Caenorhabditis elegans: one gene and its partner. The protein of the gene in region 1 purifies or fractionates together with the protein of each later gene. This does not show direct contact. Each region holds a gene or a part of one and is shown in the gene's direction. Other genes may lie near its edges.

Region 1 (7,953 bases):
ATATTTTTCAACTACGACAGCATATTTGGAACAGCTTATTCCAACATTTATTAACATGGAAAGTTACGGATTGCCGAAGAAATTTGCTCCATAAATAAGTTGTATCCAATGTATGAATCCGAGCACGAGTTAGTCTAGAACCGGACGGCAATTGGGTTTATTGGCCGTTGTTATTATATTTCGCTTCGGAAACTTCTGGAGAAGCCTCACTGTTGTGACTTGGCCTCAGTAGAGGTCCGCCGCTCCAACTTTGCGGATTATAATTATCGGCAAGAATCGCCCACAATCCAGCGATAATCATCCGCCGGTAATTTACTCACACAATTCCGTTTGTTCGTTCTCTAATAATCATTCCACCATTTAAATTAATTAAATTAAATAATTATCATTTGAATTTGCCGCCAAGGATGCAAGCGCGCCATTGTACACATCGGAGTGTCGTAGCGCGCGCTGTTTATTCCCTTGCTCATATTAATTTCTGGCCTAAAATGTGGCCACTCTTCACTTCACTCTTCGTGCCCCTTCGTCACTGGCTGCGCGTCGCCGTTCTTCTCCCAAATATTCACTAAATATTCTCTACGTTTTTGCCTTGTTTATCCCAGCATAATGCTGCCCTGCTCAATAAACTTGGATTTTCGTCAAACTGTGTACTGTTATTAGCACCGCTCATCAATTCTCCCGTTCTGTCCGTCGTCTTCTTGTCACTCCGAGGCTCTGGCTGCCATCTCGGACCGGAGTGTCAACACTCACCGTGCGAAAAATGACAAAAAAACACAATTGCCGCGTAGCTCCACAGGCTCGCCACAGAAACAAATTTGACAAAAGAGCAACAAAGCGATGCCGCCTTCACAGGCAGATATCACATCACTACCCCCTCCCACTCTCTTCACAGAAATAAATTGGAATGAACCTCACAAAACGTCCTAAAGGTTGGAGATTAAATTGTAGACATACCAACTATACTGCTAAATTAGAATACTTGGTACATCGTTAATGCTACTTATGTACATCCATTTCTCTGTCAGTACGGAGATGATATCTGCAATCTGGCTTGCACAAAACAAATTGGACAAAAGAGAGATGTCAACAAAGCGACGCCGACTCCATAAAAATCACAGATAAAATACTGCAACTCCGTCCACTGAATTATGTTTTTGTGAATTATGCTTTGATGGGGCCTCTCTCTTTTCATATGTTTTTGTGTAACGTGTCATTTTTATGTGATAAATTTTTTATTTTTGAAAAATTCCTATTCAGTTCTTGTTGTATTATGAAAACAGATAATACAAAATGAATGTCAGAAAATCCAGAATAACATGTTTTTATTGGATACCTCCTTTGTCAGTGTTCCATATAAAAAGAGCCCTGTAAGAATGGAATAGTCACAATTCAGTCAACATGAATTTCATCGTCTACCTTCTTGTCCTTGTCGCCTTTGCTGCAAACTTCGGATTCTGTCAATGACGTCCATTTCCTGCTCCAGCTCCTGTAAGTTTTCAAAGAAATATTATATTCGAGAAACTGATCATATTTCGTATAACACTGAAAACTTCAAGAAAATTCAGAAATTCTTATTTTCCAGAGAGTGTGAAGAAGCAAGCACAATATGCATTCAATGATGGGATTGAAACTTCGTTCAACAGTGCCCAATGAAGCGAGTCTAACGATCCTTCTAAGGATTAATTCGGCCATGTTTGTTTGAGAATAAATATATTGAACATTGGGAATCTTTTTTTTTTAGTTCAATCAATTGATCTTTTGTGGAATTTTGTTAGCAATAGTGTGATTCAGTTAAAAAATATTCGTTTAGTTGAAATTAAACTGCAGACTTCACATCAAAAAATGTTTTTTTTTGTGTACACTTGATTTATTGCAATCAAAGACTGAGTCCCATTTTGTTATCAGAGGAAATTCCATGTATTTAACGGAAAGAGTGATAAGGAAAATTCACTCACAAAAACTCACTCGTCGGAAAATATTCATACTACTACAAGCATACACATTTCGAAAAATGAATGATTTGTGTAAAAAACTGTCCCATTTATTTTCAAAGCCGAAAAACAAAACGTGAGTTTTAAATTGACCGGAAAATTGAGAGTTCAGTTTTGTTAGATTTTTTAAATATATGTTTTTGGTATTTATTAAGTTGTCAAGTATTAAGTACTATTGAGCATTAGATTAAAGTTACTGTTAGTTGGATTTTACCTGAAAAATTATTTTACAAAACCTCAAATTTTCGGAAAAAAGTCCGAAATTTTCGGAAATTTGGCAGTGTGTCAAAATTTTAATTTTGATTTTTAAATCATTCTCAGTGATATCACAGAGAAAAAAAACAAATGCATTCATTGAAAAAAAAACCATTGATTTTGGCTAATTTTTCAAGCTCTTTTTTCTCGGAACGACTCTTTTTCAAAGTTCCAGCGCAAATTTTTTATAGCTATGGAAAAATAGTTTTTAACGTATCAAAACGTTTTTTTTCATAGTAAAAAAATGAAATTGACAAAACAAAAATGAAATTTTCAATAATTGTATTTTACATATTAAAACTTTGTGCTGTAAATTGAAATTAAAGTGTGGCACAAAAAAATGGGCTTAGTTTCAAGTGGGTTTTTTTCCAGTGGGGGATGTGAACTTTAATTTGATTTTTTTTAAACCTCAGATCATCTAAAATCTTGACCTCCACATTGAATTCCTTTCAAAACTCCAGTAGAATTGGAATCCGAATCATCGTTTCAAATACCGTCCGATTGACCATCTACACCCGAAAAAGCCCTCCCAGGATAACAATTAACTTTCAAGGCATTACCGCCTCCATGAAATATGTAAATGCGATTCTAGCAATCGAAATTCCAATTTCTTATATATCTATCCAGTTTGTTAACAGAGAGTGTTGGAAGTCACTAAATCCCGAAGTAGTGTCTCATGTCGGGATGCTACTATTAGAGGAAATGGCCAAAATGCTGAAATCAAGCAATGTGAAGCTAAAAAAGTTTTCTGTACGTCTTTTCGAGACGCCATCAGACCCTATCGAGAAAATTCTATCAGATTTGGATGTGAAAGTTTTGGTATTGAAGACAGACTGGGATGAAGATGATGAAGATAAGAAGCCTATTCAAAAAGTCGAATCGGATAACTGGAAAAAGGTCAGAGCGCTGTACATCAACTCGTTCTATTTGGCGGGTCCTGTTCAACAAATCTCACATTTGTCGACTGCCTCATGCTTTTTCAATTCGATCAATTTCGACGATTTGGTCTTCTTGAAAAATGTTAGTTTTAAATCAATCTGGTTTCCTCATTTAATACAAAATTACAGCATTTCCTCGATGCACCACATGCACGTGAATACGTCATTCACTATCGAGAATTCGATGGGCATCCTATGATGGTACTTCCTCAAAAAATGGGATTAATTACAATCGTGGGAGATCCAATCGATGTAGATCATTGTGAAACTGGAGAAGACATCTACAAATTTCACGTGATGGACGAGAATCACGATATTTCAATTAATTTGTGTATGAGGGAATACGCAAATTTGCATTCGATTACTTTTACACGGGAGCCGCCTTTGGTGAAGCAGTTTTCGGAGTGAGGTTTTGAATAATCGCCTTTGGGTTTTGAAAAGAATGTATATGAACGCCTGCCGCCCACGCCTCGCGCCTCGAGCCGCGCCTTTTGTATAGTGCGACGCGAAACCCAAAACGTGTCGGCCGCGGCAAGAGAACCATCTTTCGCACTATTTGATGTGAACACCAAACCTGTGCCTTTTTTCCATATGCAGAAATGAGGCAAGAGGCCGGCGTGAGGCCGGCAAGTTGGAGGCAGGTGTCAGGTCCTGAAACCGCGCCTGCCTCTTATGGAAGCCTTCGTGTCTGGTTACCAAAAAAATATGCGTAGTAGGGCTTCACATAGACGTCTGCAGGAATTTTAAAAAGAATATGCGTTTTTTTCTGGAAACAGTCTGAGCAGGCTTGTGTAATTTGTGTAGTTGGTGTAGACAGTTACTTGTTTGATTTCTGGAAACAGTCTGTTAGGGCAGTGCAAAACTTTGCGGTTTCTTTGCCTCTTAATCATTATCATTTCAGCCCAATCGTGACAAACTACCACTCGTCGACTGTCGAGTTACTCGAAAACAGCCAGAACATTAGTGTCTTTCTAGTGATACTGAGAGACTCCATTATGTTTCAACTCACTTATCAACCGAAAACTAGCTTGGAAAAACAAAATGCCATCTTCGATTATAAAAAGCAGATGTCTGGATGCTCTGTGAATTCTGAGAATAGAACTGAATTGGGTGTGAATCTAGATTATCGTACTCTTTTTTGCACCCACTTGAAGTACTTATTAGACAGAATTGGATATTGTACATTTGCAGCATTTTCCTTTGTGTTCTACGGAAAATTAATGAGTGAATATGTTGTAGGAGATGAAAGTGATATGTTACACATGGAGTTTTTCAATGTATTCGATAAATTTGTTCAACCAAATTCCATAAAAGCATTGGTATTTAGTGTCAATTTCAAATTTCATCCTCTCGCTATCAATTACATCACCTCGGTACTCTCATTCTTCCAACCCGGCCCGCTTCAATCTATCATGCTTGACATGGATAAAAGGACAACCGCTATGAACTTGGAAAGTATTGTGCGCCTGGAACAATGGGAACAAGCTGCTATGATTTTGATGTCGGATATTACTGTGAAATTCGCAAGGAGGGATTTTGGGCATTTGGGCATTGCAAAAATCATAGCCCACCCGATTTCTTTCGAAGATCTAACGTTTCTAAAAGAGGTTACTCACTGGGAGGTTTTTTATTGTTGGAAAATGTAAGCTTTTCAGCATTTTATCACTTCTGACATCCCTCAGATGTTTGAGATTAAGTATCTCCGTTCCTCTGAGATCAATGTCAATGTTGCTCAGAAACTTCTAGAGACATTTGGACCACCAGCTCACGAAGAGTATGCAAGTGCAGAGCAATGTGATCGAATTTGGTGCCTTCCGATTTCAAATTCCGAGAATTGTGTTCTCGTCAAACACATATTCTGTCGTCGGCGAGAGTACGGCTCATTCAACTTCAGTCGACGCTTGGCATCTGAGTTGGAGTTGATGAGGTGAGTTGTGGCACTTTCAATACATAGTACTGCAAAATAGTTTTTTTCAGCACCACATCTCCCAACCGATCTCAAATACTCTCTGCACTCGTCAAGAAAATAGAAGCGTTGAAAAACTGGTCTCTCAAAGTTAGAATAGATGAGGGCCAGGTTCAGATCAACTTCACTCACTCACCCTGGCCGACCAAAAGCATCTGCTATAAAAATCACAGAGAAGGATGTCTGTTGGAGTATGAATTTCACAAAGTAGTGTTTGATGAGAACTTTGCCGTTGCATCCTGTGATGATCTGAACTTCGTAATGAATAGTGTGCAAGAGTTTGACAAGTTTGAAATTGAATCTGGCGAGATCTCAGCGCCAAATCGAGACGATGATCCAAATAACTCTAATGAAACAATTTTACCATATTGGTTGACTAATCTGAAAACACATTTGAAGCAAAGATCACAGATGCTTACTGTCGGAACTTTTAAGCTGAACTTGAAAAATCACGCTCCAAACAATCGGTTCTTTTCAATCCTGTCACTGATTGCCTCGGAAACTATCGAGTTGAAGACTACTGTCCAGGAAGCAAAGTTAAAGTTGAAAGAAATTAATGTAACAAATGCCAAGGAGTTTAAAGCAGAATCGTTTCAATTATCCGTTCCTATCAAATTGTTGCTTCATTTTTCAAATGTGTCTGCGACGTTACAGACAGTTTCAATTCAAGATCTCAATATATTGAAAGAGGTGAGGGAAACTTTTTTCTATCACAGGTAAAGGTTCGGTCTGTCAAGAAATCATAAACACGTGCACGCCCATTTCTTGGCTGTTCATTCTGCAACCAAAACATTCCAATTTTCAGCACTTCCTGAATTCTCCAATCAAGCTCAAGTTTATCATCAACGACACTCTTTCAAAAAATGAAGATGTGAATGTTACAAACCTACTGGAAATGTTTGGAGCACCCGACCGTATTGAAGATGTCCTCATGGAATGGCGTATTCGGACTCTTAGCACAAAATTCGAGCTAGTCATAGAATACCGCCCATGTGTTCCCATGGGTCAATCATTCACTTTTGAAAGTTTTGCGATTGCTGACACCGTATTTGAAAAGGTTACTGTTTGAACTCCAGTATGGTCGGGGTACTGTAGTACTGACACCTCACAAACTCCTGAATTCACTAGAACTAGGTTTGCTGGGAAAGAATTTTTTGCTATTCTGTTGCATCTATGGTAATTTTTTTAGTTATATTTTTTAGCAAAACTGCTATCCTGGTATTAGCGAGGTTCCAGCAAGCGCGCTCCAATAATTATAAGAGGCCGTGCATTTTGTTATTTCAAAATTCCCGTGCGGTGTCGGTCGCTGAAACTTTCTCATGGTCGATTTTGTGAAAATGATTATTTTTTAAAAGTGTAAAATTTTGTGAGTGCTTGATAGTTAAAAAGCGCCACGAAGCCAAAAGCATGGTGTGTTTTCACCACATAGTGCGAAAGGTGGTTCTTTCGCCGCAGCCGGCACTGTACAGGAGACGCGGCTCTCGGCGTGAAACATGCGGAGGTCACCTACAAGACAGGCGTTTCGGCGCCTGCATGGGTGCCCTACACTTGACTGTAAAATTTGCATTTCCGAAAAAAATCTTACTTAAATCGATAATTTTTAATTTTCAGGAACATCAAACACTCGGTCCAATCAATAACCTAGCCATGTTGCCACTGTAAGCCCTAAGTTTTGTAAACCCCCGCCAACTTTTGCCTTTCTTCCAGCTCCTTCACTACTCGATCCGTAATTCTCCCCTCCACATTGAATTCCATGAAAGGCGCACAACTCACTGAGATTTACATGTCAGTTGAACGTATCCGAATTACAATATTCTTCCGTTATTTTCTCCATAATCATGAAAATTGTCGAACCCACGAGTATGAACGTTATCAGAAAGGGTGCCGGGTTAAATGTGATCTTCAAGAAGAGGTAGCTCGACACCAAGACTTTATCTCGTTGGCGATTTCCCATTTGTCAGTGATTCTGAAGAGTCACGATAACATGGTTCGATTCAAAATTTATCTACGCGATGATTCTGAAGAGGACGACGTTGATAAAAAGGTTCTTCAAGCCCTTGTTGAAGCGCTTAAAGAACGACAGAACAAGCTGAGAATTAAATATTTAGAGGTATATTTCTGGAAGCGACCGCTCATCGAACTCGCCGCCTCGCTATTGTCATGGTGCGACCCCATAGATCTTATAAGAATTGTTTTGGAAGCACCATTTTTCAAAGGCATAGTCATCGAACCGGAAGCTTGTGAACTACTTGTCAACCTAGAACAGTGGAAAAGTGTGAGACAGATGATGTGTCCGTCGCTCGTGTTTCCAACTGCACTGTCAAGTTTTGAGCATTTTTCTGCCGCTAACTTCACTGTTCCAACAATCAGTTTGGAGCAGTTGAATTCATTGAAAAAGGTAGGCTTCCAATTTTGTTTGAGCACCTTTCTAACTAAAGTTAAACTTCAGCACTTTATGAATTTCACCACTGAATTCATATTTGCCATTCACTTTCTCGCTTACAAAGATCAAGACATCAATAATATGGGAGAAAGAGGACCGAAACCCCAAGACGTTTTTTGTACACCTTCTCAGGCTGAATACGGAAATGAAGAATTAGGAAATAAACGGTGGTATTTGCCAATGGAAAATACGGAGTATCAACTCGATATAATTTATCTACGTTGTGGAAGGCAAGGGGTTCCAGTGTATATTTTCAAGCGGGTTAGTTTTTTTCTCAATTTTTCTGAAGGTCTTCTACACCTCCAGGTTAACGATAATATAAAAAAATATGTGATTTTTATAGGAACCTCTCATAAAACT
Region 2 (7,794 bases), on another chromosome or scaffold:
CATTCTATTCATTCATATTCACTAGTTTCTCATTTTTCTAGTGTAGTTTAGGCAATCCCTTCTGAAATTATAAGCACACTCCGTATCGTTTGTATTGTCTAATTGGAAATGCATTTTAAAGGTGTAAGATTTAGAATGATGAGAACACGTTAAACACAAATATCATGTTTATTTTAAGATCCAGATTATCTGAAATTGTCTGACATAGATTTAAAAAAGCATATATTTATTTTCATTTTCAACGTGAAAGTTTAGTCTCTAATTTTGAGATTCGGAAAAGCTGCACAAAACTTTCACGTTAAAAAATTAAAATTTAGTTGAACAACTTCCAAAATCCTATTTTATTATCACTTATGAGTGTTTTAACTGCCGCTATTTCATTTTTAAAACTCACTAGCAGTCAGTTGGATATGCTAAAAATTTGCAGAATAAATTATCAAACTGTTGGAAGTGATTAAAAATTTCAATTTTTGATAATTCAAGAAACATTTTGGCTTTGAAAATTTTAGACCTTTAATTCTAAATAATATTATTTATTCGCATTTTACTGATAATGTTGGAAAAAAGTTCAAAAAGCTTTGGAATTATAAGTGATATTTTTGATATGTTTTGTGTGTGCTGAAATGTTACCCGACTTAAACATTTGGTTTTTCAGATCTTTTTTAAGAATAAGTTCACCGCGAACTTTCTGGAATGCCTTGTGAAAAAAATATTCAGCCTGATGTCTAAACATTTTTTTCAATTTGGCATGAGCAAAAAACACGAATTGTTTAAATCAAAAATGGAAGTCATTAAACTTTTCCTCTGTTTCATGAAAAAAATCACAAAATTAATCTACGGAATCTAATTATCACAAACAATTTCCCTGATCAAAGAAATAACCTCATGTTTTTTTCCATAAGAAAACAAACAATTTCCTTCATTTTTTCTTTAATACTTCTCTCTTCTCCACCCCCGGATTTATTCCCTCTTTTCACAATTTGTATTCAACTGATATATCTAATATATATCTCTAATATTTCTCTCCTTCTTATTTTCTTTCTAGATAATCCCTTTTTTGAGTCTTTTTCAGATTGTTGATAATCCCTCCTCCTTCTATTTTGTTTTTCATTTATTGGTGTTTGTTCAAGATTTCCAATAAAAATAAATTTAGTTTAGGCTCGAAATTTTAAATAAGAGCTAAATATTTGAATCCAGAAATCAATTTTTCCGAATCAAAGTCCGAATTCGAGGAATTTTATCCAATATAAACTTTGTCCTGTGTCTTCTTCTTCTATCATTTTTGTGTCTTTTCCATTTTCTCTCGATTGCATTTTCAGACGGAACTCTACCATCATTTTCAACTGAAAAAGCTATAATCTTCTTATTTTGTGTTGACTTCTAAAAGGTTTTCCGTTTTAAAGTTCTAATGATAGGATGGGGACAAAAGACACAATTTAAAAGAATCTAAATTTTTCCAATGTTTTCCAGAGTATTGAGGAAGAGTTTTAGGGAATTTCTCAACAGGTGTGCTGAAAAAACTTAATTGGGACAATTCGCCAGTTTGGTTCACCAAAAAAAATTCCACGCACTTTTTTGATGAAAAAATTCACAACAATTGAGAAAGTTCAATACAAAAGGTACCTACTATTTCATATGAGCAGTGAAAAAAGTATAAGCCATCTATTTCGCCATCGTATTTCGAGCTAGTCAAATTCCTTGCTCTTATTGTTTTTACTCTCACTTACTTTTTCATTTCTCTTTCTCTCTCTCTCTCCCCCTCCGCCCAAACCACAAAATTTCAAGATGGATTCAACGGCTCGTGGCCACGCCCCTTTGTGTCGAACCAGCAACCAAAGAGGACTTGGAACACGTCTCAATCCATATTATCAATCAACTCCACATCAACCAATGGTACAATCAATGTCAAATCCAATTGGCTCCTACGGAGAACAAGGAAATGCTCAAATTATTGGAAGTTCTGGGCAGGTGCTTTCAACTGGACCACCGCCAGGATTGGCTCCAGTTCAATGCAATGATTTTGACTCTTGTTACAGGTTTGTTATGTTTTCAGATAAAGTGCAGAGAGAAAAAAATTTCAAAAAATTAATTTAGTCTGAAATTATTCAGTTGAAATCATGGGGAGAGATGGCTTGTTCTCGACAAATCTACGGAATTACATTTTAAGAAATGGTAATTCAAAATTAGTAAAAATACATATAAATATTCAACTGATTTGCAAATAATTTATACCTTCGAAGTTTTTGAAAAGGTTTTTAATTATGCTCTTGTTTTGGATGTTAAAATTCAATGACAAATTTATTTGGCCATCGTAAAAAATTTTTTCGCAGAGTTCCTGCAAAAAAGCTTCGAGAAGTTGAACCTTGCATTTCTGTTTGTAAATCGTCACCCACATGCACTTCCGTTAAAAATAATTTTCAGTACAAATGATGGCAAATTAAATTAAGAGTATAAGGAAAAAATATGATAAAACCTCTGTAAATGACTGAAAATAACTATCCCGGAAACAGACAACGTGCATTTCTTTCGCATATTTTTCATATTTTTTCTTTTTTTCCATCAGCCGGAAATTTTGTTCTCATTTTTCTGTAGGTCTTCTTTTTTCAATCCTTGGAGGTTTTTTTTGCAGTTTAATTTGTTTTCAGAGAAATAACTTTTGAGCTTTCTAGTCACTTTTTATGAGTTTGGATTGAGTTTGGATGCACATAAATATTTATAACATTAAACATTTCAGCAATCTCAAAAAAGTTTCAATTCAAATTTTTTACCATTGTTTTTTTGCAGTTCTTGCGACGATATATCCCATCCATCACTGAGTCGCGAATCATCGGATCCAAGCAAAATTGATGGTTAGTAGGAAACAATTATTTTAGATAATTTCAAAGATCCCTGATTTTTATTTAATATTTTCAACAAAATTATATTTGCTCTTAAATCTCAGATGACCAAACAGCGCCAATGATAAGATATCCAGCACCGGAAGTTGTTGAATTCGCCACGAAATTGGGATATTCGACAGAGCAACTAAGTCACGTATTGAATACAATTGGTGTTGATTCTAGAATGGTTCGTGTTTATTACTTCAGAAAAATATTTAAATTAGAACATGTTTGTGACTTTAAAAACACTATACGACAATTTAAGGAAAATAGTTTTCAGATTTTCTAGTAAATTGCGAAAAGTTGGAAATGTCTCACCAAAAATCAAAAATAACAGTATTCAATTGAAATTTCATAAATTTGATTCGAATATTGTCAAACAAAACTAAAAAAATTTCAGGACGACGTGCTCTCAGAACTTGTAAAAATGGGTCTTCCTGGTGGTAAACCAGAAAATTCTGGAAAATCTGGAAGTAGAAATTCTCCTGAACCAATCATGACTTCCTCTGCATCGTCTTCTTCTGCCTCATCATCGTCAAGTCATCGTCCTATTAGACAATCAGTATCAATTGCCACGTCATCACCTGCCACGTCATCATCCACACCATCCAAATACAACCCGGATCCAAGTTTGAGAGCTGTGGTTGTTGATGGATCAAATGTTGCAATGTTGTAAGTTGACGCAAAACAAATGGTAGAAAAATACATAGATAGAAACGGAGATTTTGAATAAGCAGTGGAGATATTCACGATATATTTTAAGTACAAAAGAACTAAAACATTCCAAAAAATAACTGACAATTACAATCTAATCATTACCAGAAAAATAAGAAGATTACGGTAGTTTCTGGTTTAACATAAAACAATGACAGACTACGTGTCTTCTTCTCATAACTAAGTGACCACAGACCTTGTCACCCGCCTACCGGAAGTATTTGTCTATGTTTCTCTCACATTCTCTCTTGTTTTTATAAACTCTCTCATCTTTTCTACAAAAATGAGCTCTGTTCCTGTGCCGTTTCTCCCACTGTGTCCGCCGCCGCTCCTGCTTCCGCGCCAAAATAGTCTGTTATTTTTGCCAACTTTCTTCTTGCCTTGCTCCGATCGTTTTTGGCTTCTATATGTCTCTCATAATCCTATGTGCTCTCTCACTTCTTATGAGCAAATATGAAAGTTTTGCGCCCTCTCTTTCTCCGGATTGACTGCTTTCCGCAGCGGATGCCCTGGGAAGAAACATAATGTCAATAGAGGGATAGAGAGAGGGAGACAGAGAGAAACGGAAAACGGCACCCTCTCTTGATCATCATGATTTATTCACCATTTTCCATGATTCTCAGAATTTTTCATGATTTTTCTGTTTTTTTGTTGTTGAAAAGTATATCTTATCTAGTTGTTAAAATGTTGGTTTTTACCATTAAAACAGTCTTTACTAAACTTTACAAAACAGTTCAAAACTTGTCGATCTAATTATTTTAATCTATTCTATTTACCCATTTGAAATAATCATTTTCAGACACGGCCGTAAAGAAGTCTTCTCGTGTGCAGGTCTCCGCGAGTGTCTCAATTATTTTCTGGAACGGGGACATCCGGAAGTTCTCATATTTATTCCCCAATACAGGTAAGTGTGAAAACGACACTTGAAATTTCTGTAATACAGTAGTCTACTGTAGTTTCCATAAAAATTTACGGTACGTGATTGTAAGTCATTTGGTTTTTAATGTTAATTTGACCATGGCTACGGAATTATTAAATGAATATAATTCTGAAAATATGAGTTTTCAGAAGAGAACAACCACGATCGGATAGCCCTATCACAGATCAACATATCCTACAGGAAATCGAACGACATATCATTTATACTCCTTCTAGGTGCGCCTTACGACATTTAAATACTTAGTGTATAATTTACACTCAAAAAAACTTGATCCAGAAACTGGCAAATCTGGAGTTAAACTTGGACAAAACTTGGTTTATGACAAACTCGAGTTGAGTCCAAATCCCAACTCTTGTCAATGACTTACCCTTGTTTAAAAAAAACATAGGAAAAGTTTGGATCGAGTCAAAAATAGTTGCAGCTTAAACCAAGTCTTCTCAAAATTGTCTCCCACATTTGCCAGAGCTTTTCCAGCTTCTGCACCAATTTAATTTTTTGGTCACATTTTTAGTTGTTTTACTTGAGAATATCATCGGTAAGAATTGGTCTGAGCTCAATTTGTGAACTTTACGTTAGCAATTTTCAATGTCTTGTTAAAAATTGAGTATCATAGTTTCCATATTAAATAGAATATGTAATAATTTTCAGAAACGTTAACGGTCGTCGAGTTGTCTGCCACGACGATAGATATATTCTCAGGACTGCTGAACTAAAAGACGCTGTAATTGTGTCAAACGACGAATATCGTGACTTGACACGTGAGAATCCTGCGTGGAGGAAGATTGTCGAGGAGAGACTTCTTATGTTCACTTTTGTTGAGGATAAGTCAGTTTTTTAAATTACTTTGAGATAATATTGTTTAATAGACAAATAAAATGCCATAAAATCTTATGTTAATTGACTATGTATTAGATATGGAATAGATTGAATGGGGGATTTGCTGTAAAATTAGCGGAACAATTCATAATTTTGAACCCAATCACCCAAAGTAAAACTGAATTTTCTCCAAAACGAGAACTGTAGTCTCAGGACCAATCAGCAAATATCTCCATCCACATTTGAATCAATCAGTGAAGTTCCACTTCGTACACTTTTATAAATTGGTTCAGAAGTGGGGATAAGCTGTTCACTGATTGGTCTTGCAATTCTTATTGTGGAGGGAATGCAAACATAGAGTATGAACTAGGAGAGAATCACGCTTCGAAAATTGCATGATTTCATTTTGTTGTAAAATATCTAAATGTGTGAACTATTTCAGGTTTTTTTTTGAAGTGCCATTCACTCTATTTCACATTTAAATGCCTACCTAATTATCGTACTAACCGATTCGCCGGAAAAAATAAATAAAAATTTTCGAGATCATGAAATCAACAAATAAACATTCTGCTAATTGAGGTGTTCATCCGTGTTGTTTTGAGGTGTTTCTTGTGTTTTCTATTCGTTCTCCTCTATTCAAATATTTGCACTTCGACCTGTTTTCCTGCACTTTTTCCTCTTTTTTTCCGAAAAGTCTGTGAACAAAAGAGCAAAGCTCTGATTGCACTTTTTCTCACTTTTGGAGACAAAAAACATCAAGACTTTTGTGTTTTTTTTTTAAGTTAGTTTATAGAATAATAAACTTTAGAAGCTAGGATTGTTCTAAAAAAATTCAATTTTTTTAAATATCGTCTTTCCTAATACTCAGTAAATTCAGATTTATGCCACCGGATGATCCATCAGGTCGTCATGGTCCGCGAATCGAAAGCTTCTTATCAAAAGTTCCTGTAGTTTCATCAAATCCTCTTGTGTGTCCATATGCAAGAAAATGTACATATGGGAATAAATGCAAATTTTATCATCCAGAAAGAGCAAATGGGCAACATATGAGTGTAACTGAGCGATTGATGAAAGAGAATCAACAGAAAAAATCATTGGGTGCAGGTATGTTTTGGTTGAATTAAACCCCACCCGTATAATTTTATATTTTTAATTTTAAAATTTTAAAATTTTAAAATTTGTTTTTCAAATTTGTCAGATTTCAAATTTTCAACCCTAATTTTTCTCCATTCTTTTTGGCTGTTTGTAACATTTTGTGCCAAAAACAGAGTACTTTAACAGCTCAAAAACCACTAGAAAATCGTTTTGAATTGATGATATGAAAACATTTTTTGACAGAAAATTTCATGAAAGTTTAGGTTTGCTTTAAAAAAAATTATATTTCCTAAAAGGGACTCAAAGTGCTTGTCAAATGTTGAAACCCTCAAAAACTCATTTTCGTGGCTAAAAAAATGTCGTTTAGGCAAATTCAGCGTAAAATAGAACTTGAATAATTTTTGATTGAATTCGGAGGTACAGACTTGAGTTTCGCCCCACAAATTGTTGTGGTCTCTGTTCAATTGATTGACTTGTTTTCCTTATTAAATTGATAAACACACACCTAAAACTGATCTTGTATATTCCTAAATTAAATTCAAAATTTCAGTAAAATCGATGCAATACGAAATGTTCAAGAACAAGCATGCAGCTTTATCACGTACTCAATCATTGAATGTTGTTAAACAACTCACAGAAAACATGTCCCAACTTCCTCCAACTCCTGAGAGCCCCATGCAAATGCCACGTCAGCATATGCAATTACAACAAGCAAATAGTGCTCCATGGCAACAACATACAGTTGTTCAAAGACATGGATCATCTCCATTAACACCCGTAAATCGGCAAATGAATGGTTAGTTTTATGATTTCAAAAAATTAAAGTGCATTTATTTTCTTACCAAAATTATAAAATTTATGTAATTAATTAATACACTTACACTTACTTTCAACTTGCAGTTTTTTCAAAAACCTATCTTCAAAAAAATATAGAATCATGTTTGAACAAAATCGTGCACTACCTAGTTTATATTACGAAACCATCAGTTCATGAGAATGCCTACTTTCTGGCGCGAAAATAGCGGCAAAGAGAGATTTAGGTGCCTTCGCTACGAGATATTCCCGCGCCAAAACGTCAGGCATTCTCATGATCTCATGGTTTCTTAATAGCAATTTTCCTTCCCAAAGATACGGTAGCCGGTCTTGAAATATTTTCAAATGAACGTTGCGCAATAAAATCTAGGTCTTTAATCAGTACAGCAACCCTATTCCCGCTGCTAAAAAACACATGAATATCTGGATAACATTTGTAAAATAACAGGGGATGAATTGCTGTACAAACACATCGCCACCACCGTTTGAAAAAATATTATTCGTGTCGAGACCAACTTTACAAAACCTAAACAATTA

Evidence for each region.
Region 2: the proteins of C01B9.1 (region 1) and rege-1 fractionate together in Caenorhabditis elegans (co-fractionation; one large-scale study listed by BioGRID). This does not show direct contact.

The regions. Positions count from the first base shown.
Region 1 is NC_003280.10:13,769,624-13,777,576, forward strand, and holds the start of C01B9.1 (DUF38 domain-containing protein), read left to right. Parts: upstream 1-1,951; 5' UTR 1,952-2,011; coding exon 2,012-2,067; intron 2,068-2,659; coding exon 2,660-3,266; intron 3,267-3,313; coding exon 3,314-3,588; intron 3,589-4,085; coding exon 4,086-4,791; intron 4,792-4,839; coding exon 4,840-5,111; intron 5,112-5,161; coding exon 5,162-5,840; intron 5,841-5,955; coding exon 5,956-6,207; intron 6,208-6,761; coding exon 6,762-6,808; intron 6,809-6,857; coding exon 6,858-7,548; intron 7,549-7,599; coding exon 7,600-7,854; intron 7,855-7,936; coding exon 7,937-7,953. Other genes in the region: C01B9.4 (Transcriptional regulator), read right to left, coding at 1,298-1,365, 1,417-1,486.
Region 2 is NC_003279.8:6,955,131-6,962,924, reverse strand, and holds the start of rege-1 (Endoribonuclease rege-1), read left to right. Parts: upstream 1-1,785; coding exon 1,786-2,036; intron 2,037-2,784; coding exon 2,785-2,849; intron 2,850-2,941; coding exon 2,942-3,066; intron 3,067-3,279; coding exon 3,280-3,551; intron 3,552-4,392; coding exon 4,393-4,497; intron 4,498-4,661; coding exon 4,662-4,748; intron 4,749-5,181; coding exon 5,182-5,358; intron 5,359-6,226; coding exon 6,227-6,453; intron 6,454-6,994; coding exon 6,995-7,240; intron 7,241-7,794. UniProt on the Caenorhabditis elegans protein: Endonuclease which binds to the 3'UTR of target mRNAs and induces degradation of the transcript.